Caenorhabditis elegans: one gene and its partners. The protein of the gene in region 1 purifies or fractionates together with the protein of each later gene. This does not show direct contact. Each region holds a gene or a part of one and is shown in the gene's direction. Other genes may lie near its edges.

Region 1 (8,852 bases):
GTTCGGTACATAACAGTAACCTCAAGAGTCATCTGGGATCCTGGTGGGGTATCCATTATTGCTTCATTGCATAAAAGACCAGATGTATCTGTTGATCGTGTTGTGATCACATTTGTTCCGATATCTCGCTGAAAAGTTGAATATAAAAATAATGAAATGTATAATTTTTCGTTTTTTAAAGTATTGATTCGTCTATTTGAATTCCCTGCAAAATGATAAGCCACGCCCACAAACGAAAAATCGTCTTCGAACTACGTTCATTCCGTCGATTATTGGTCTTGCAACTCACACTTTGGAGCAAATTCAAAACACTTACTAAAACTTAAAGAAAAACGTTTTGAAAGTAGAATTTCAACTTTTTCACTTAATATTTACTTTTCATTTGTGGTTTTTCGGAATTTCAGACTTACAGGCGCAATTTTGCTTTTGTTGCTCTAATATATGGTACCCGGTCTCGACGTGACAATTTTTTGTTAATTACAAGCATGTGTGTGCCTTTAAAGAGTACTGTACTTTAGAAATTTCGTTGTTGTTGAATTTTCATCGATTTTTCTCACAATTTGTGTTGAAATGTATGTGTTTTTAATTGTTTTTTAAAATTTTGTTATTAATAAATAAATATATTTTTATCGAAAACTAGGAAAAATCGATGAAAATTTTGCAGCAATGAGTTCTTAATTACAGTACTCTTTAAAGGCGCACACGTTGTTGTATTTAATAACATTGTCGTGTCGAGACCGGGTACCGTATTTCTGGTGCAAAAATCGCAATATTTCGCGTCTGTGGTGATGAAGCAAAATCTATTTTTTACAATTTTCAGAATTGATTTAATTTTTCTTACTTTTGCCCGTTTCGAATGTGGTGCAGTATCAGGTGTCTTCTGAATAGGCATCATTGGTACTGAAACTATGTCTTCGTCAGTGAAACATGCTGATATAGCAATGGTAGCCATATGAGAACTAGATCTTTTGGATCTTTGTGGAGTTGTTGAAAGGTTTGAAGATCCAGATGATGATGATGAAGAGGCAACTGTTTCAAGGCTTAACTTGCGTTTTTCACTCGAAAAAATATCTGTGGACTCTGAAATAATATTTAAATTTCAAAAAAAGCTCTTTAACTACGAAGATACAAACCTTTACGCTTTCTTTGAGCTTTTTCTGTGCTCTGTGGTGGTTTCATCAGTCCATTTTCCTTTTTGGAAGGTGTTGGACTTTTTGATGTTGTCATATCGGATGAAACAGGCGATTGAGCATGTTTCTCATCTGACATCTCTTCAACTTTTAAATCTTGTTCATCGATTAACTTCGGAGAGAATGATGATGTTGACTCAACGACAGCTGGAAAAATAAACCGTGTTTTTTCTTCAATAAATATTTTTTATCAAGTTTTTATGAGTATATTTACTTTTCTTGGACTCTCTGTTAAAATTTCGAACATTCTTCTTATATTGCGCTCATAATTTTTTTTTAAATGTTAATGAAGAGAGCTATTTGCAGTAGACTATCTAAGCAATTTAATTGTTAATTTTTAATTTTTAGTGCCTTCGCTTATCTATTTTGTTTTTAATAGCCTGAATTTCCATTTCCCTAGAGGATCTCTCGAAAGTTTTGAAATTATTTGAGCAGCTACGGTAGATGCGACTTTCGTGCATTTACGCGTGGCGGTGTTCACACTGATCCCAAAAATTTTTGTTTGAAATAAATTGCTTTTTTTTCGCAATCTTTCATTCTTATTCATTGCTTTTCCGTTTACCATTTTCATACCATTTTCATCTGTTTTTTCCACTTTTAAAAATTCTTCTCGCATTTTATCAGTAGGCTCGGATATTTGTTCGTCTTTGACAAGATCTTCTGGTTTTTCATCAATTTCTAGTTGTATTTCTTCATCAATTTCCATTGGTTCAATATCATCATTCTCATCATCCTCATCTAACTCGCCGTCTTCTTTTCCAGAAGTTTCCGCTTGATCGTGAGCTAAATGCAATAATTTTCAAGATTTACGAGAAATATTTTTTTTTTCTTAAAAAAAATTTCAAACGAAATTTCAAAAAATTATTTAGAAGTTTTTGTTAATCATTGAAACAAATAACGTACCGTCATAAGTTGTTTGAAATTCGGGGGTTTCCTGCAACGGTGGAGGAAGAGGTGGGGGCGCTGAAATCGATGGTTTGTCTTCCGAATCGGACGGACTTTCATCGATCTGTAGACGACCCTCGTCCTCATCGTCTGACATGTTGCTGAAAATTTGAAAATTAAAATTTTACAAAAGATTTAATTAAAGCAATAATCAAATTTTTAAAATACAATTTGAAATGAGAGAAATTTTAAAAATAATAGATATAGTTTTGAAGGTTTTGATACTTGAAAAACGTTATCCTTATTTGGTAGCTTATGAAAACAAAACAAAAACAACTGCAAGATGTGTTTCGGATGTTTTTTCTTCATTCTCTCAATTGTCTGACATCTCCGGAGGCAGTTGCTGTGCCCTCTATTGGTACGTGTCGATTGCCTGCGTCTCTGTGTCAAGAGGCACCCTCTCATCTCTCTGGAGACGGCAGAGAAACATGAGATCGTGGTAAGACCATCAGGGAGGACGGCGGCAAATCGGAGGGAACGCGCGAAATGAGCGCGCGATTTGAATCTAGAGACCATATGACGGAGGTTGTCTGTAGTTGACCTTTTTCGGTTTTATCTGAACTTTCACAGATTGATTGCGTAATGTCCACTAGACATTCGTTATGGTATAATTGATATTTCTTTATTAATTTTCATTAAATATCAGATATCAATCTCTAAATTTCAAGCATAGAAAGTATCGTGCAAACATGAACAGTTTCATGAGCTCAGTTTATATTTTAAATTCACACCTAATTCAAATCTTAAATAATTTTTAATGGAATAACTGCAAATCTAAATCTAAAACCAAAACGACCTTCATTCACTTGTACCAAATCTTATCTGATTTTATGAATTTAAAATCTTATTCTTCTTCACCTCTGACTGATAGTTTATGTTCTCCCTATTGTGTACACTCAAAACTGCACAACATTTGTTATTTGAGCCAGTTTCAGTCGTTATCTTCCTATTTATTTGTTTTTGAATATTTTGAATAGCTCGACTTGATATTTTCAGGGAAATTTGATCAAAATGGCTGGAAGAAAGTCATCAAGGACGGCTGAACGTGTCCCCACTACACAAAAGCCAGAAAGAAAATCTGCTATTTTGTAAGTTGAATTTAGATGGATATTAGAGAACTGATAATTTTTAGACTTTATAAATATTTATTCATCTTTCGAAAAATTTTAATTTTCAGATCTCCACATGACGAACTGCGTGAACGTCTTCTGGAGACTGCAATTGATATGAAGGAAAATATTCCACAACGAAATACCCGAAATTCGAGCGTTGGAAGTCAGAAATCAGATTGTTCTGAGACAAGAAAACGACGAAGTACTAAGGTTTGTGTGCTTATCAGTGAACATTTTAAGATGGAACAAGGGAAATGAAATAGAGAGTGATAAGAAAAGTACTTTTTTAAATTATAATATTACTACTTGTACAAATGCCTAAAGAGATTTTTGCTTCTAATTTTTCGAAAACCGTAAGAAAAACTGTCAAACGATTGCGGATTGTTACTAAGCTGAATGGGGGTAAGGAATACATTTTAATTTGCCAACAAAATTAGCAAATATTTCTAGATTTAAACACATTTTGCTATATTTTCAGTTTTGAATTTAACTTATTTAGGTAACAGCATTCATCCAGAAACACAATGTCTAACAAATTAATTGAATTTCGTGGGTAACTAACTAACAGTCAAACGCTCAATATTGAGTAGTCTGGGTTCTACAGGAAACATCTCTCGTTAAATAATTTGCAAACAAAGTTTGCACTGAGAAACAGACACTTTGTATTTGACCAGTGTAATAGTGCGCCAAAATGTACTCATTCTCCCGTTTTCTTTTTTCTTCTCTCATCTCATGTTCACACCAGCACCTCAGATTTGCGAGAAAATAAGACGCAGACATCGATAGTCATAGTGACCAGTCTCTTTCGTATGCAGAACACAGTTTTGTGTCCGCTTTGTATGTCCAATACTTGTTTGCCGTCTGAGTCTCACTGTTCATCTGGGGGTATAGCTCAGTGGCAGAGCATTCGACTGCAGATCGAGAGGTCCCTGGTTCAACTCCGGGTGCCCCCTAAATACTTTTTGCATTTTGGCTTCTGCTTAGAATCATGACGATCAAATAAGTTTCCTAAATTTGAACAAAATTATATAGTGGTTCAATCTTGTTTGATAATTTATTAATTTTACAGGAAGGTCCAGCTGCAAAACGTCATTCGGGCGAGAAGCATCGAAATGGTAGCCGCGAAGATTCTTTGGAGTATATTAGTGGTAATCTAGTTTTATTAGAGTAAAAATGATATTCTGTTTGAAGAATATTCAGATGATCGTGAAGTTGGATCTTCATCATCACAATCATCAAGAACCCGTGGACAACCACTTCCAGCTATGCCTGAGGAAGAAGAAGTGTTTGATAAATCATCTTCATCTGATAATCTTGCCGAATCTGAAGAAAGTCATGAGATGGTCCGATTGGAAGAGAGACAGGATATTGAAGAAGAAATTGAGGATGATTTTGATGATGAAGAGGAGGATGTTGTTAACGATAAAGAGGAGTACGAAGAAATTGAATCTGAAGATGAAGATGGTTAGTTTCAAAAATACTCATGATGCGTTTGAAATTATTAGCATTTTAGATCAAAATTTGATAAAAAATAGTGTCTCCAAAGAGAGTATCAGTGTTTCAAGCTGAAAAACCTACCCAATTTTGATACAATTTAGATTATCCTGTCCAAAACGAAGGATTTGCCGTTACAAAACGGCTCATGAACGACGAACATATGGTTACGGCTCCAACGTTTCTCAGCACAGCAAAATGCGATGGAATAGGATCACCAACAAAAGTTTGGTCTCTTATGGTCAAACGAGACGAAATTCCACGTGCTACACGATTCTTGCTTGGAAATCATCCGGATATGGATGATGAAAAGCGACGTATTTTAATTGATTGGATGATGGAAGTGTGTGAATCAGAAAAATTGCACCGAGAAACATTTCATTTGGCTGTTGATTATGTTGATAGATATTTAGAGTCATCAAATGTTGAATGTTCAACGGATAATTTTCAATTGGTCGGGACGGCTGCTCTATTTATAGCTGCTAAATACGAGGTAACAATCAGGGGTTTCACTGACACATTTTTCGTTTTTTTTTTTTAGCAAAACCGAAAAAAATTCTAAAACACTTCAAAATCGATAGTTCTCAAACGGAATTAAATATTTATATTACGATTTACACCCTTTTTCAAAAATCCAAAAAAACCGGCAAGCCTGGTAATAATTTTAATAAAATATTTCACCGATCTAGAATTTGGGTTCAATTAATTTTTTCACAGTATAGATTCACATTAATTTTTGTTTTTTTTTTCAGGAAATTTATCCACCTAAGTGCATCGATTTTGCTCATCTCACCGATAGTGCATTCACCTGTGATAATATTCGAACTATGGAAGTTCTTATCGTCAAGTATATTGGGTGGAGTCTTGGGCCAATCACAAGTATTCAATGGCTCTCAACATATCTTCAATTACTCGGAACCGGCAAAGTAGGATTTTAAATTTTTTGTTGATTAAAATATTTTTTCAGAAGAACAAGTCTGATCACTACGAAGAGCAAAACATGTACGTGCCAGAATTACTCCGTTCAGAATATCTTGAAATGTGTAAAATTCTCGATTTTCTGCTATTTGAGATCGACTCATTTACTTTCTCCTATCGTACCATCGCTGCTGCTGTTCTTTTTGTCAACTATGAGCCAACTTGTGCTGTTGAGAAGGCTACCGGATTTATGCAGGCTCAACTTGAAAAAGTTATTGAATATGTTGAACCGGTGTGCCGGGCGTTCGCCAAACAACGACAACTTCTTGACGATGTTATTCCAAAACATGAATCAATAAAATCGGATGATTCACACAATATTCAAGTATACGTTAAAAGGAGTTCAATGGAACCTATTGTGGTAGGTGGATATATAAAATTCATGAATTAGAGGTTGTTTTCATAATTTTTATTTTTCCAGAAAAGCGAACGAGAGAGGATTCAGCATTTAAAAGCTCGCCGTCTTCATCCGCAACGACTTTTCTAAAATAACCCGCAATAGGATTCTTTTATCATCGAAATTTCTGTAGATTACTTACTTCAAATAATCATGCACACAGGTTGTCCCCGTTAATTCTTTCCTTCAATCTCTTTCTCTCTTTCACCTAGTCTGTGCCATTTCAATATGATTGCACCCCGGAAAATATCAAAAACTTCACTTAACAAGTGATCCCATATTACAAAAATATTCAAATTCCGAAAATCGAAAGATGCATTTCCGTTTTATTTTACCGAATTTTGATGTTTTTGTAATGTGTTTAAACCCCTTTTACAATTAACTTATTAATGTTTTGTTTTACTCATCTCACTTCCCCTTCTTACTTTGTGCTTATTTTATGTTTTAGGTTTTTTTATTGTATCATAAAACTGGAAATTTTGAAATAGGCTTCTTTCTCCCTAAACTTTTTTAACAGGTACTGTAACTGGTACATATCCTCTGCCCCACCCCGCTCCCAACTCGTCTTTGTCTGTTTGTTTATACGAAATACAATTTTTAACGAGTATGCGGGTTTCTGTTAGCTTCAACAATACGATCATTCAAATTTTAAAATTAAGAAACTATAAAAGCACAGTATTTACGTGAGTTGAAACAAAATGCCTTCTCCAAATTTCTTAACACTGAAAAATTTTCGGAAAAAAAGCAGAAATTACTCCGCAAAAAATTAAGGACATCATTCCAATATTTTTTTTTACTTATTTGATGAAAAATTAATATATTCCAATAAATTAAAATGAATTATCATCTCAGGAATACTGTAGAATTACTTTAAGATTTTGGCTTATTTATATTAAGTGGTACGGTAGGGGTACTGTAGGTGTATTGCAGAGTTGTAGACACTGTAAATGAAATTCCAAAGAGCATAAAATTTATCAAAAAAAAGTTTGCGTGAATTTCTAATTAATGTTTAATCTTCTTTTTTTGTTAAAATTTGTTCAGGGTTTCTTATCAAAAAATGAATCATTATTTAGTTTCTTGGCTAAAACACTACTCATCTTCGTAGTTTCTTGCCGTGATGTTTCAAGCTTTGTTAAGTAAGTTTGAGTGAATTTCTGGTTTTGGTGGAATTTATTCTGATATCGAAAGCTCTATGTCTATTCAATCAATTGATGAAAATGCGTAAATAGGGAACTATGCACACACGGCGGCTCAGACTGATGAAGCTTTTCTAGTTTTGGAGAATGAGGTCTAATTGAGCAAATTTTCAGCAAAACTCAAAAATAATGCGGCTTTGGGAGCAGCTGCAAATAACTTGAACAAGTTCAGAAGTTCGAATCTTGGTAATCAGAGACGTTCTGTCTCAGTTGCTGTGACATCAACATCTCCGAAATCGGAAAAGCCAGTAGCCAGGGAACATATGATTTATGATGAAACTCATTTTGTCATGCAGAAGAGTTTGGGAAAACTTATCGAAGAAAAAATCAATCCAAATGTGGCAAAATGGGAACAAGACGGGCGGTATCCAGCACATTTGGTATTCAAAATGCTTGGAGATCATGGTGTTTTTGGTGTTAATAAACCAGAAGGTAATACGCTTTTTTTAGCTAACTTGTTTTATTAATTAGTTATCCATGCAATATTATTATTTGATTGGACTTTTCAAAACGAAAAAGTGTTACCACAAAAAACCAAAAGCGTAGATTTCAGAACTTGGAAGAATAACTTCCAGGTTACAATTAGAATATCAGAACACCAACTTTTTGGGTTCTAAAAATGTCAAGAGCCTGTAAAACTACATCATTCTAAAATGTTAAAAAGATAGTACTGGTGGGAGGAAAACCTTAAAGATACAAAAAACTGCAAGAATAATAGAATTAATACGGTGTGTTATTTCTCATTTTTACCAACGATTTTTAGCATTTGGTGGAACTGGAACGGATATTGCAATGGCAACAGCAATTGCTGAGCAGATGGGAGCAATTAATTGTGGATCAATTCCAATGTCAGTTATGGTTCAGACTGATATGAGTACACCTGCACTTGCACAGTTTGGTGAGTATTTCCGTTTACCACCAAAATTAGAAATAATTGAATATTAGGTTCTGATGCTCTTCGCGAAAGATTCCTTCGTCCATCAATCACTGGAGATCTTGTCAGTTCATTGGCTGTATCTGAACCACATGCTGGATCCGATGTATCAGCTGTGCACACACACGCACGTCGTCAAGGATCTGACTTGATAATCAATGGTTCGAAAATGTGGATTACAAATGGTGGTCAGGCGGATTGGGCGTGTGTTCTTGTGAACACATCAAATACATCGAATGTTCATAAGAATAAATCGTTGGTTTGTGTTCCATTGGATGCTGTTGGAGTTCATAGATCAACTCCACTGGATAAGTTGGGAATGAGAAGTTCGGATACTGTTCAGTTATTTTTTGAAGATGTTCGCGTGAGTTTTGAGACACAAAAAACAATTATTTCGTTTTCAACAATGATAATTTCAAAATACCAACAAAAAAGTTCACCACGAGTTTTGAATATTAGTTTTTCGTTGATTATTTGTGCTTGAACATTCTTGCATCAATTCAGGACCTTTACCTAGTTGCGTGATTACAGTACACATATTTTCACTTTTTAAAAGCAATAGTAAGAAATTTATTTCAATTTTAAACTAAAATCCTGCAGGTCCCT
Region 2 (7,396 bases), on another chromosome or scaffold:
TAATAAATTTTTGAACATTTGTAAGTTAAATAAAATTTTGGACGAATTTTTCGAAAAATCGAACATTTTTTGGCGTTTTTATTTAATATTCGTTTAGGCTTGACTGTTGTTTTCGTATTTAAACAATCCCTACTATCGCTACTTCGCCGTTAAATGAAAATGTGTGTCATGTAATTTATGAATTATGAAAGAATAAACTGATGTTCTTTGAAACAAAACTAATAAATCAAACACATATCCACAGAAATAATTTTTCAACAGTTAAGGTTCAAAAAACACAAAGCTAACCTACCAACTTTGAAAACTCCACTCCTCCGCAGTTTTGCATAAACCACAATCATTACATTTAAAATCAAAGTCAAAATCAGAAGATAGTGGGATTTGTATACAAAGTCTGGCTGAAATTATTCTATAAACAATAGCCATATAATGACACAAACCCATATAAGGTAGTTGCATTCAGTATCCAGAACAAATGTTTCACTATCAAAACGAGGAAAACAGCCAAGAAGCAGGAGATACCAAGAACCAATAAATGCCAGTATCCAAATACCAACTCCAAAGAATGTAACAGTTTCAGAGTCGAAAAATTTACTGAATCTGGGATTTATAATGCACACGAATCGATTGGCAGCCATTAAAAATGTCATAATATATCGAATTGTGTTGACTGTCCACATTTGAAGAGTCATAAATAAAACACAGACTGATTCGAGAAAATGAAGAGATGATTCATCTTCTGCTTCAAGAACATACTCGACCGAAAAATGTTGGCAGAAGTTCAGAACCAGTTCAACCCAGATCATATGAGTTATGTAACCTTTAGTTTTTATTACTGAAGAAATAACATATACATACATAGTTAACATTTTTGATCAAATTATTAAAAATTTATATAGTTTTGCTGCAGTACAAGAGCAGAACATATATATCTAAAACTTGGTTTCTTTAATGAAGAACAAAAATCACAGTATTCTATTAATTTTTCTATTTTTTAATCAAATTTCCAATATCGTACTGTCGGTAAATGCATTAAATAAAACAATGAATTACCTTTACTATTTTTAGCCACTACATATAAAAGAATAATATTGAAGGAATAACTGAATAAATGAGTGGCATATGTCAATATCTTAATCCAATCCATGAATTCTTTAAGAACTTGATTTTCAATTAGAAAATGCTCAGAAGAGCTCACTCTGATCAGAGTAGTTTTTGACTGAAATGACCTGAAAGTGCAATTCTTCATTTACATTGTATCCTCATGCTGCCTATAAATAATACAATAATTGTTGTCAAAATTATAAAACTGGAGCTTGCAGCTATCGGCTACATAACATTTGAAACTATCATTCAGATGAAGAGGCGTATTTTCGAAAAGGAAAGAGCAAATGCACATTTTTATATGCTTTGGGTAGATGAAGTCTTTTTTTCTTTTTTCAAGACATGATGAGTTTTTTGCAGCTTTTGTTAACGGAATAATTGAATGTTACTAGGAAAAATATTCAATCCAAAAGGAAACATTGGCTGCGAGCCTCTATCAAAAATCTCGAGGAACTGAATATTAATAGAAATTATGTAACGTAACTTTACTAACTGAAACATCAAAAATGTTTGAAACCCCTGGAAACAGTATTCTACAACATTTCATTTGAGGCTTCTGTGGCAAGTCAGCTTACCTGTTTATTGAATGCGTCTGACAATTGAGCTGTGTGAGCTCTACATTTTGGTGTGCACATTTTCTATATGTTTTCTCTTTAATAATATTGTTTCAATTTCAAATAATAACCCAAAAAAATTAAGTTCAAGTGAGCTCTGGCAGTAGGCACGACGCAGGCATAGGCTGGCTTAAAAGCAGTTCATGACCCATTTTGTGTATCCTTACTTTTAACCTATCAGTAGTATTTAAAGCGTACTAGATTAAATGTGATAAAAAACTTAGCGGATTTTTCACGTAAACTTATAATGTTCTTAAAAGGATATCTGTTCATTTTTATTTGAAAGCTTTTTAAAAATGCCAAAAGTTGCTTTTATTCTAATAATTAGCTATTTATTATTTTATAATAGTACATCGGTAAGTATTTTCCATCAAATTAGAAATCAAAATAAGTTTTCTCAGAAAACACTAGAGGACCTGAACTCGAAGTATTATGATTTTCAAGAATCCGACACAGATGTGAATTCTTTGGAACAACGAAAACTTATATCTTTTTTAAATTTCATGAAAGATAATGATCGAGAATTACTTATTAGTCGTATTAGAATTGATGGTAGGAATGAGTGAGAATGCTACTAATAAGAACTATGTTTAGAAGAAGACAATTCGCTGTCCAAATTTTTAGTGGATGCCTGGGAACTTGGCCATAATTTCCAGGTAAATGTGCAATACTTATCTTTATTATAACAGAAAACAATTAGTTTGAAACATTCTACAATCCAATTTACGTGTTATGTCGTTGTAATACTACAAATACACTTCACAGAAGGGAAGGAGTTGTCCTGGAAGTGGTGGCTAAAAACGAAAAATCTGATAAATTTGAACGTCATAAGTGGATCGCCATTTTTCTTTCCGTGAGATTGTCGTGAATATTCGATAACTATTTGATATTCTATTTCAGGAAAAAGAAACAGGATACTATCTAGAATACGTGGAACATCTTGGTTCGATTAAATTAGAAAATGTGAATTCGGAATTTGAATCCGTGTTTATTATTAATTCTATTTATGAATGTCCGAGTCATAAGCAGTTTTCAATGAATACAAAAAACTCAGGTGTGTTCTTATTTTGTAATTTACTTTACACAAAATACGAACGAACTGTCAGACTGTCATATATTGCGGAATTTCCGTTTAAGATGATTAACTAAATCTTTGAAAATTAAATGAATAGAATACAAATTAGAAAAAAATGAAAACAAGCTCGGCAATGATAGAAATTAGGCTTGATGACTAGGATTTCAAAACCTTCCTCAAATATTTAAATTTTCAGGCAAATTCCAAAACCGAGATAATATTATTTCAAAACACATTGAACACGAGTGGACCGAAAGAGAATACGAAGTATGAATAGAACGTGTTTCGAATTCTCATCTAGTTACTTTTACTATTATACCTGATTTTATTTTCACACGACATTTTTCATAATATTTGAAGAGAATAGAATAAATATCTTGTTTTGATTTTCTGATATACAAATGATATTAATTATTAATGCAACGAAACTACATTGATGAATGAAATATCTATCATTTCAGTTTTGTACATGAGAATATGTATTCCCAGAAGGCAGATAACGTTAGCCTTCCTATAAGGTTACCTGCCAAAGGGCACTTTTAAGAATCTGTTATCTCTCATTCAAATCGTGACGTGTATTATCAATTTGCAAGGCATAAACTAAAGAGGCTCGAAAACGCGATAAGACTATCCTAGAAAATTAGCGTGGCTTATAAAAGTGGAGTGTCGACAGTTGTTCAAAACCACTTCATGGTATTTACTAAAATAACATAAAAACATGTTTAAACGTTTCAAAAACATTTTTGGTTTTTTTTAAATACACAGTCAACAGTTTTTGCAAGAGTACACGTCCCGTAAAATCCCCACTATCAATTTTATATTCTACAAAATTAAGGAAACTTTCGTCTTTTGTAGTTCATATAAGTTTATTCTATTTTTCATCTCCAATCACACAAATCACATCATATTAACTTATTTTCTTTCTCTTTGTCTCGTTCTGATTTGTACATTCCAATTACAATGTCATTCGTTATTCTTAGTCTTCTTCTTCTTCGGTTAATGATCGAACTTGGTGGGCAGGGCACACAAATAGAATGCTTCTCTTTTCTTTCTTCTATTTTTTTTTTCGTTTCAATTCTCAAGAACTAATGGACAAACGAAGACGGTAAAATGATTCAACGAAAATGTGTTTTGGCATTGATTTTTATTTTTTGTGTTCGTGAATCTGAACAGAGGTTAGTTTTTTGTTTTGCTTTTCGTTTGATTATGTTTTCAATTTTTTATTTCGAGAACACGAAATTCTGTGAATGTGTATTGCGTAATATATCTCGTTGCGAAAACTACAGTAATTCTTTAAATGGCTACTGTAACGCTCATGTTACGAGTTCAATTTTAAAAAATTTTTGAAATAAATCATTACTCTCAATAGAATATGGGAAATCATGCAAAAAATGAGAAAATAATACGAAGAAACTATTTATGGACAATGGAATATCGATGTCCCTTTTCGAAAAGAAATTCATTACACAAATCGAGCCCATAATTTGACAAAAGCGTTATTTATGGTACAGTTTTGAAGAAGTACTGTAGTTTTCGCTATGGGATATTGTCAAATATGTTGCGCAATACGCATTTTCCGATTTTTGCGTTCCCATAAAAGTTTTAAAAATCGATAAATTAATAACGTTTAATTTATTGAGTATTTCTTGATAATAAAACAGTAAAAATATAATTGTTATGTGTCTTGTTACTCAATACCATCAGTGGTAAATGAGACTTTCAAATCTGGCAAATAGGTTTTTTTCGGAGAAAAAATTGGTTCAATGAGGTAACCAACACTTTTTAGTTCAGTATACAATTAATTCCCTCATTTATAAGTAATGATGTATTTTTTGGAAATCGTAGCGATATCAGAAACACAAACTGAAGTGTGTATTGAAAGTAACATTTTTACGAATACCGTATATCTTCTATTAATATGGCCTCCCTATTAGACTTGCACTCCCTATTAGTATTGCCCCTCGGAGACCTTCCGAAAATTAGTATGGCACTCCCTATTAGTCTTGCACTCCCTAATAGCCTTGCGTTTACTATTTTTTATTGCAGGCCCGTCTTGTTAACTTCAGGATTTCAACAAAAAAATTTGCCTATTTTGCAACAGTTTTTCACAACATTTCTACGAGATTGAAGTTTTTGAACTTATATGTTACAATTAAAGTCAAATTTTCTGAATTTTTACATAAGATTCGAGCTTTTTCAGAAAAAAAACTAGTAAGCTCAAAGTCAGAAAAATGTTCTGAAAATTAGTATTGCACTCCCTAATAGTCTTGCACTCCCTATTAGTATTGCAAGCGGGAAGTCCATCGAAAAATAGTATTGCAGCCATATTAATAGAAGAAACACGGTATATGATAAGCATTTTCTAAATTCCGTAGCGACTGAAACTTTGAAAAATTGCTAACAAATCATCATTTACTATATATAAAGCGCGTATTCCGTTTGTCCATAGTTTGTAGTCTATGTAGTCTTTGTAGTCTGCGAAGTTTTAGCTTCTGGAGGGATAGTGAGTTGGGGTTAGTGTAGGGATATAGTCGGGGTACTGTAGTGGTACAATGGTGGTACGGTAGGAGTACTGTATGATTACGGCAGTTTCAGAAAAATTGGTTTTCAGCTCCAGAAGTCGGGGGCCGCGCCGGAGGTGCGGTCCACGGCTGGTAAATAATATAAAAACAAAACATTATCAAAGTCCCAATAAATAATTTCAGAGGACCACCAGGTATTCCTTCGCCAGCCAATCCTACACCTTCAAATCCGGTAACCGCTGCTCCAATTAGACGGCAACCAACTGTAATACAAACAACATGGGCTCCACAGATACAGCAACCCCAGCAGCAGCTAGAGTCTCCACAGAATAATTGGGATCAACAACAGCAGTCAACAGATGAAGAATGGCGTCCTGATTGGAGAGACAGAGGACCTCCACCACCAGATTTTGATGGTTGGCATCATCATCATCACCATCGTCCACCTTGGATGCGGGGCCCTTGGTGGCGACGCCCGCCACCACCTTGGGGACCGCCTCCACCAGGGCCGCCTCCTCCATTCGGATGGAGAGGACTTTGAGAAATGTATACACATGATATCATTGTTCATAAACCATTGGTCATACACCGATATTCACACCAAGAATTAACAATAAAATGAATAACCAGAGAGATTGAGTTTTAAATTGATGAAAGTGATAAATTAAATTAAAAATGAGATTGAAAATTTGAGATTTGAGAACGGAAAAGAAGCCAACAGAAAACCATGAAAGCAATAAATTATACTGGTGGGAAATTGCACATAAAACCAGTTGATTCGAAGCCGGTATAGATGAACAAATTGCGAAGTGGATTCTTTCCTTCCGAAATTGATTTAATAGCTTCTTGTCCAATTACTCCACCGACACATGCTGCTGTTGGTCCAAAGTTTGGTCCGAACAAACTGAAAAATTACAATTTTGAAAATATTGCAAGTTTTTGCAATGGCAGCAGAACAAGAGTTTCGATTTTTGGACGTAACATTAAAATGGCATTATTGTAATTTCACAAGATTTTTACATACATTCTTAAAGGCGCACGGAGTTCTTTTAGATGGGTCTCAGCGCACAACAAAGTTAATGGTAGCTTTTCTTATCTTTGCGGCGGCTTCATTACATTTTTCAATGAACATATTAGGTCTCCAAATAAGTTCCGGGTCAAAAATCATAACTTTGTTCGCTGCGAATCGATTTTTATGAAACTGTGGGAATTTATGTTATCAACCATGATCTTTCATTTGGCAATAGTCACAAAATTTTTTGGCCGTCCGAAGTGCCCTAACTCGGAGCCAATTTTTTCAGGCATTTTTCAGATCTCGCTTCTTTTCAGGTTTCAATTGAGGTTTGTGTGCGGATTTTGCTTAGTTTAATACACAATGTAAGAAAACAAGAAAAGTTTGGAAAAAAATCCCTCCAAAAAAAAAATTTTTGTCGAAAATTTTTGCTTTTTTATACAAAAATGATGTAACCATGTGTAAACTATTTTTACACATACAAAACATTTCAATTTAGTGCGTCACACTGAAATAATAACAGAAAACACAGCTTTTTCGAATTTTTGGATTATTTCTCGAGATCCAAATATCATACTCAAATGTTTTGTATGTGTAAAAATAGTTTACACATGGTTACATCATTTTTGTATAAAAAAGCAAAAATTTTCGACAAAAATTTTTTTTTTGGAGGGATTTTTTTCCAAACTTTTCTTGTTTTCTTACATTGTGTATTAAACTAAGCAAAATCCGCACACAAACCTCAATTGAAACCTGAAAAGAAGCGAGATCTGAAAAATGCCTGAAAAAATTGGCTCCGAGTTAGGGCACTTCGGACGGCCAAAAAAAATTTGTGACTATTTGCAAATGAAAGATCATGGTTGATAACATAAATTCCCACAGTTTCATAAAAATCGATTCGCAGCGAACAAAGTTATGATTTTTGACCCGGAACTTATTTGGAGACCTAATATTTAGTAAATTTTTTTTTGCTTTAAATTTCATGAAAAACAGTTGATTTGTGCGTTAAAAACAAAATGACAAAATTCGTTAAAAATGAAGTAGTTTCATTGAAAAGTGCGAGAAAAAA
Region 3 (6,142 bases), on another chromosome or scaffold:
TCGTATTGCTTTGGTACAGACTATAACGGGCGGTGTTAAAATTAATAGGATGTGTTTTAACAATATCTTAAAGTGTGCACTTTCCAGCAAGTTCCAAATCTACCTGTCGAACTCAGATCCATGAACCTTTCAATCTGGGCAACAGATTATCGACTCTTTCTGGGATCTTTCATCTTTATCACATCCTTCCAACTAATGGAATTTATTCCTCTGATTTTAATAACCGACTGGAATGTCCGAACATCAATCAAGAAATCAACGCAGTCACGGCAAACAATGCAGCTCCAATTAAAGTTCTTATTGGCTCTTTATGCACAGGTGAGCCAAAAAAACTCTCTTCAAACTTGAAATAATCATTTTAGAGCGGCGCATTCTTCCTGACCTGCTTCACTCCTTACGTATACATTTTGTACTCCTGCTTTACAAACTATTACAACCCCATTGCAAACAACTTTATATTCATTTTCGTAGCATCACGTGGATCAATATCGACAATAATTTTGCTATCAGCATATAAACCTTACAAAAAGGATGTGGTCAATAAATTTCAGTTACTTGGTACCTCGCTCGGTTGCTTGAAAAAGAAAAAAGTTGCGAATCAAACTGGAATTTTCATAACTAATCAGAACACATCTTTTTGATGATAAACTTATAAATACTGAGTCTGAACTTTTTTTAAAATTTTGTTTAAAATGAATTTAATAGATTTTAATTTGATCCTTTGACAAGATTTTCTTTCGTTCTGTTTTTTTTTCGCAGCATTGGAAATAGCAATGCTCTGGTTTTGAAGAAAATCTTTTTTTTTCGGAATTCGGAATACCATACATTTTCATTGGCAGCTCAAATAAAACTGGAATTTCCGTCAAATTCTGAACGATGAGTATCAATTTTTTGTGTTTATGATATTGTTCAGACATGAAAGAGTAAATTTTTAAAGTTGTCAGATATTAATTTTTGAACTCATGAAAACTGAATAAATCTCCCAATAAAAAAATGTGGTCATTTATATGCCTGAAGGTCAGTTTTTTGATTGAACTCTAATAGTAAGCTTCTGGCACCTAGAAAAATTTTGCAATAAAATTATGAAAGCGCTTAAAATTTGAAACAAACCCCCGGAGAAACATTTTCAAAAAAGTTAATTTTAAGTCAGCTATTAATTTTTAAACTTATGAAAACTGAGTGTTTGGTGTTGAAAAACTCATTTTTTTAGAATTTGAAATAAATGTTCATTGGCAGCTGAACTGGGAAATTCCGTGATGGTTTTGATACTATTTATGTATATGAAACAATTAGTTCATGAATAATTTTTTTGAAAATGTTCAGTATATTAACTAAAAATAAAGCACACACGAGCGTTATAATAAATAAGTTTTGCTAGATTTGTTAGATTCCAAAAAAGTAATGCCATATTTTGTACGAAACTGTGATTTTTGTTTCTGGGTGTTAGAAAACACCTGTCGAAACTTCAATATAAAATACTCCTTAAAAGCTCAGGTGAAACTTAAAAGTCTTATTGATCCCATTCTACTTTTTGATTCAAAAATGATGTTTATGGAAAGTCCGGATTTCTTATTTTATTCTCTACATGGAATGGGAGCTGTCACTTGCCCTCTCCAAATACTCGGTCTTTATTGCATTCTATTCAAAACACCACAAACAATGAATTCTGTCAAATGGGTACTTTTGAATTCTCATATTTGGTCCCTTATCTTCGATATAACAGTTACTGCACTAACCATCACATTTCTAGTTTTTCCAGTTCTCGGAACAGTTCCACTAGGTTTTCTAACGACATTATTCGGAGTTCCAATTGATATTCAGGCATATTTGGTGTTCACACTTCTATTCAGTATGACGCCACTCATTTTCAAACTCCACTTTTTAATCAAATTAATCTCAACTTTCAGCGGTCTTGTTCTCAGACATGCTGATCTTCGAAAATCGCTACTATCAATTATTTGCAAAAAACAAAAGTTGGCGGCACTTTCGCGTTCCATTCATTATCATTAATTATGGTGCCGTTGGAATTTTCATGCTTCCGACGTTTTTGAATACTCCTGATCAGTTACAAGCTATTGATTTAGCTTTCAAGGTGACCGTTTATTTGTAGTAGTAGCTGAACTAGGCTTTCTATATATGCTCCGACGAGGCGCTTCCGCCTGCCTTCGAGTTCCATCATCGGCTTTACGCCGTCACTAACGCCACCAGTTAGAACAAACTTAAAACTTTCTAGGTGAGAGATAGCTGACAATGTGCCGGGTAAATTTGGCATATGTTTATGTTAAGTTATCATAATTGAAATAAGTATAAACATGCATTTTAGCCAAATTATGAACAGTATATTTCAGCAAGTTCCGAACCTTCCCGTTGAACTCAGATCCATGAACTTTTTCATATGGGCAACAGATTTCAAACTTTTTCTGGGATCTTTCATCTTCATCACAGCATTTCAACTTACGGAATTTGTTCCTTTGATTTTAATAACTGATTGGAATGTGAGATCGTCAATCAAGAAATCAACGCAGTCACGGCAAACAATGCAACTTCAGTTGAAGTTCTTAATGGCTTTATATGCACAGGTGAGCCAAAAAAAAAACTCTCACCAAAGTTGAAATAATAAATTCAGAGCGGGGCATTTTTCTTGACTTGTTTTACTCCATACGTATATATGTTGTATTCTTGTTTCACAAACTACTACAATCCCATTGCCAACAATTTTATTTTCATTTTTGTGGCAGCACGTGGATCGTTCTGCACGGTAATTCTGCTCTCGGCATATAAGCCTTATAAGAAAGCAGTAGTCAATATCTTCCGGTTAATTAGCTCCTCGATCGGTTGTTTCAAAACTCAGCCAATTGTGAATCCAATAGGAATAATTATATCTAATCAAAATACTTCTTTGTTTTGATATATTGTATTCTAAAAAGCTAGCAAAAAAATGTTGCCAGTATACATTGTACCACTATAAATCACATTGAAAATCTACATGAAAACATTTTTCCGGTCCAGCCTAATTTTCAGTTTGAATTGTGGCTCATGAAACTTCTAATATGTTAATTTGTTATCAATTGATTCAATATTACACACAGACACGACAGTTGTCTTCAATAAACGTTTTAATTTTCTTCTTTTTTTTCACATAGCCCAACTGACCTTCTTGAACTTTGTTCAGCCAATTTTTTTTCATTACAAGCAGGCTTAGAGAGAGAGACAGATATTTCTTCTTCAACGAGTGATGTTTCTGACTTGTGATTTGTTACCTTCATCAGTAAACGGGCGACATAGTGTACGCCTAATCTTTTTTTTTAATATAAAAATATATATTTGAATTCATTTGTTATAAACTATTAAAAAATGTTTTATAGAATCGTTTTTAAAAAATACCATAAAATTTATAAAAACTTAATACAATTCAATTTTTTAGGTGATTCTGGTGCTACTAGCCATGATTTTGTTGATACTTCTGAGCTCTTTGATCATGGGAGCAAGTACAGGTGAGAGTTTTGAAAAATGTGCCTGCAACTGACATACAACCTTTTTTCAGGAAAAACTGGAATAACTTGCGCCAATGTTAGATGTGGAAGCCCTGGAGGCTGTGGAATGGTTGCTAGTTGCCCGGACTGTGAGCCAGGACCAGAGTGCTTGGAAAAGAATGGTAAGCGGTTCGGAGAAAAAAAACGTATTTTAAATTCAAAAATTTCAGATTGCAATACCAAAAGCTGTGCTCCAACAGAGGAATGTGTATTGGTCCAAGTAACCTGTATTATGGCGCCATGGTGGGAATTTTTTAAACGAAACTATTTTTAGTGATTTTTAAAAATGACCGGTAAGATGTCGGCTGCGAGGGATAAAATAACAAATTCTCCATTTTTTAAAACTAATTTTCAAATGATCCGAAAATCAATGAGTTTTAGCTACCCAATCGCTGAATGTCGTCCGAAAAAAACACAAATCCGCAAGCGTCGTCAAGTGGGAACAAGTTGTAAAGATGTTCGATGTGACACGCCAGCCGGATGTGCGATGGTTAGGCCAAGTGGATGTATGGATTCGCCTACAATGACCGGATGCGAGCTTAAACCGACTTGTATTCATGTAAATGGTGAGTGCTTGGAAGATTTCAGCTGCTGCACTTAATAAGTCGGTCGCAACTTCTTAGGTGCCAGCTTCTACCCTCAATGTGTCGGTGGCGTATTTCTGAATTTCCAGCTTGTACAACCACAAAATGTTCACCCGGCAAGAAGTGTGCTCTTCACACTGTTCAATGCTTTACCACACCCTGGTAGGTACTTTTTTTTAAAATTGTTTTTATTGTTCATGTTCCAGTGACCCAGTAGCAAAATGCGAGACTCCACTTAACTTTTTATCGGAGCCATTCAATCCAGGATGCGGTCCGAATGAGCATTTTGTTGGGTGCAAAAATATTTGCTCTGACACCAAGTGCAATGAAAAACGGGTACGTGGATCAATGAAAAATTCGAGAAAAACAATTTTTGCAGAAAATGTGCCCAGCGGTGTGCACTTTTCCCGGATGCGTCTGTCTGAATGGATTTTTCCGCGATAAACATGACAAATGTGTTACCCAGGAAGAGTGTGATGAGCAGAAGAGGAAAAGTATTAAATCGTAACTAGAAAGAACTTTTTTATTTCCAAATATTTTGCTGAAACTATAATAAACTGCCCAATTTTTTCTAAAGTTGCCAAATGGATTTTCAGATGTTGTTTTCTGTAAACCTTCAAGGCTCAAGTAATCATTGTGTTTGACTTTGCCAGTTTCGTTAAGAAAATGCCATAAAAGAGGACGATTTTGAACGTATAAACTCCAATGTGCTCAAATTGGCGAATTTTGAATTGAGACTTCTCAATATTTTTTAAAAATGATCTAATGGCCGAGTCTATACGTTCAAATTTCCTCCGAACCATTAGTCCTCCTATAATTCCAGGATTCCAAAAACGGTACGTGATCTTGAAACATTATGATTTCTGTTTCTCGGTGCACGGAAACATCTGTCGCAATACTTTAACCACCAAAACGAGGTACGCCTCTGAAGCTCAGGTGAAATTCAACTCAAGTTGTATGAAAATTAATCTCCTTCATATTATATTGAAAAATTATGTTTATGGAAAGCCCGGACTTTCTTTTCTATACTCTACACAGTATGGGCGCTTTTACGTGACCTCTTCAAGTATTTGGACTTTATTGTATTCTATTCAAAACTCCACAAGCAATGAAATCGGTAAAATGGGTTCTATTCAATGCTCATATTTGGTCTATCCTATTTGATATATCACTTACTGCATTAACCATTCCATTTCTAGTGTTCCCAGTTCTCGGAGCAGTCCCTTTAGGCTTTTTAACGACATTATTCGGAGTTCCAATTGGCATTCAGGCGTATTTGGTGTTTACACTTTTATTCGGTATGACATTAATTATGTTTAATTCAATGTTAGTGTTCAAAAATGTACAGTTTTGAAAGTTGAAAATATGTTTTTGTCTATTTTCAGCTGTGTTGTACTCCGATCTGTTGATCTTCGAAAACCGTTATTACCAGTTTTTTGGCAAAAATAAGGCTTGGCGTCACTTTCGAATACCGATGATGATTTTCAATTACACCTTCGTTGGAACGTTTATGCTACCCACGTTTTTGAATACTCCTGATCAGTTACAAGCAATTGACTTAGCATTCAAGGTTATTGTTTTTATTTTAAAATATGTCTTAAAGGTGGAGTAGCGTCAGTGGGGATTTTGTCTAAATGCACTTATAATGATCCAAAACAATTGACTATCATAATAAAAAACTGAAAAAATTTTAGATTTTCCATAATTTCCGGTTAAAGTTTTGGCAAATTGACAAAATTTTGGAAAATACGAGTTTTTGAGGAAATTTTAAGAAATGCCGCATGTTTCGACAACTACAATGTTTTAATACAAATAATTTAAACAAAATAAAAACATAAAAACTGTCGAAAATTTTTTTTTGGTCAACTTCCAAAATTATGAGTGGCAAAAACTGAGTAATTGCCACTTTTTGACAGTAAATAAAAAATTTTCAAAATTTTTTGAAAAGTTTTATCATGATATTTGGTCATTTTGGGACCAATGAAGTGGGTTTTAACAATTTCCCCACTGGCGCTACTCAACCTT

Evidence for each region. The genes of interacting proteins can lie anywhere in the genome.
Region 2: the proteins of cye-1 (region 1) and C08B6.10 fractionate together in Caenorhabditis elegans (co-fractionation; one large-scale study listed by BioGRID). This does not show direct contact.
Region 3: the proteins of cye-1 (region 1) and T06E6.10 fractionate together in Caenorhabditis elegans (co-fractionation; one large-scale study listed by BioGRID). This does not show direct contact.

What each region holds. Positions count from the first base shown.
Region 1 is NC_003279.8:6,777,675-6,786,526, forward strand, and holds cye-1 (G1/S-specific cyclin-E), read left to right. Parts: upstream 1-3,131; 5' UTR 3,132-3,146; coding exon 3,147-3,223; intron 3,224-3,312; coding exon 3,313-3,457; intron 3,458-4,128; exon of another isoform or gene 4,129-4,200; intron 4,201-4,316; coding exon 4,317-4,395; intron 4,396-4,438; coding exon 4,439-4,711; intron 4,712-4,845; coding exon 4,846-5,234; intron 5,235-5,493; coding exon 5,494-5,667; intron 5,668-5,708; coding exon 5,709-6,080; intron 6,081-6,140; coding exon 6,141-6,206; 3' UTR 6,207-6,722; downstream 6,723-8,852. Other genes in the region: pqn-21 (C2H2-type domain-containing protein), read right to left, coding at 1-128, 842-1,080, 1,134-1,337, 1,764-1,973, 2,094-2,232; acdh-5 (medium-chain acyl-CoA dehydrogenase), read left to right, coding at 7,234-7,252, 7,427-7,744, 8,076-8,210, 8,258-8,610, 8,847-8,852. UniProt on the Caenorhabditis elegans protein: Essential for the control of the cell cycle at the G1/S (start) transition. In association with cdk-2, regulates proliferation, quiescent state and cell fate during the development of several cell lineages.
Region 2 is NC_003283.11:10,121,624-10,129,019, forward strand, and holds C08B6.10 (Proline-rich proteoglycan 2-like), read left to right. Parts: upstream 1-3,874; 5' UTR 3,875-3,903; coding exon 3,904-3,968; intron 3,969-5,498; coding exon 5,499-5,856; 3' UTR 5,857-5,947; downstream 5,948-7,396. Other genes in the region: srxa-19 (G_PROTEIN_RECEP_F1_2 domain-containing protein), read right to left, coding at 293-398, 441-835, 1,054-1,147; C08B6.6 (uncharacterized protein), read left to right, coding at 2,015-2,074, 2,120-2,270, 2,313-2,374, 2,419-2,571, 2,619-2,772, 2,990-3,066; SUMO-activating enzyme subunit aos-1, read right to left, coding at 6,057-6,219.
Region 3 is NC_003283.11:15,414,709-15,420,850, forward strand, and holds T06E6.10 (TIL domain-containing protein), read left to right. Parts: upstream 1-3,413; 5' UTR 3,414-3,445; coding exon 3,446-3,494; intron 3,495-3,544; coding exon 3,545-3,655; intron 3,656-3,703; coding exon 3,704-3,776; intron 3,777-3,914; coding exon 3,915-4,099; intron 4,100-4,206; coding exon 4,207-4,279; intron 4,280-4,323; coding exon 4,324-4,453; intron 4,454-4,496; coding exon 4,497-4,625; 3' UTR 4,626-4,693; downstream 4,694-6,142. Other genes in the region: srh-264 (Serpentine Receptor, class H), read left to right, coding at 88-318, 363-641; srh-265 (Serpentine Receptor, class H), read left to right, coding at 1,543-1,849, 1,908-2,092, 2,349-2,579, 2,627-2,908.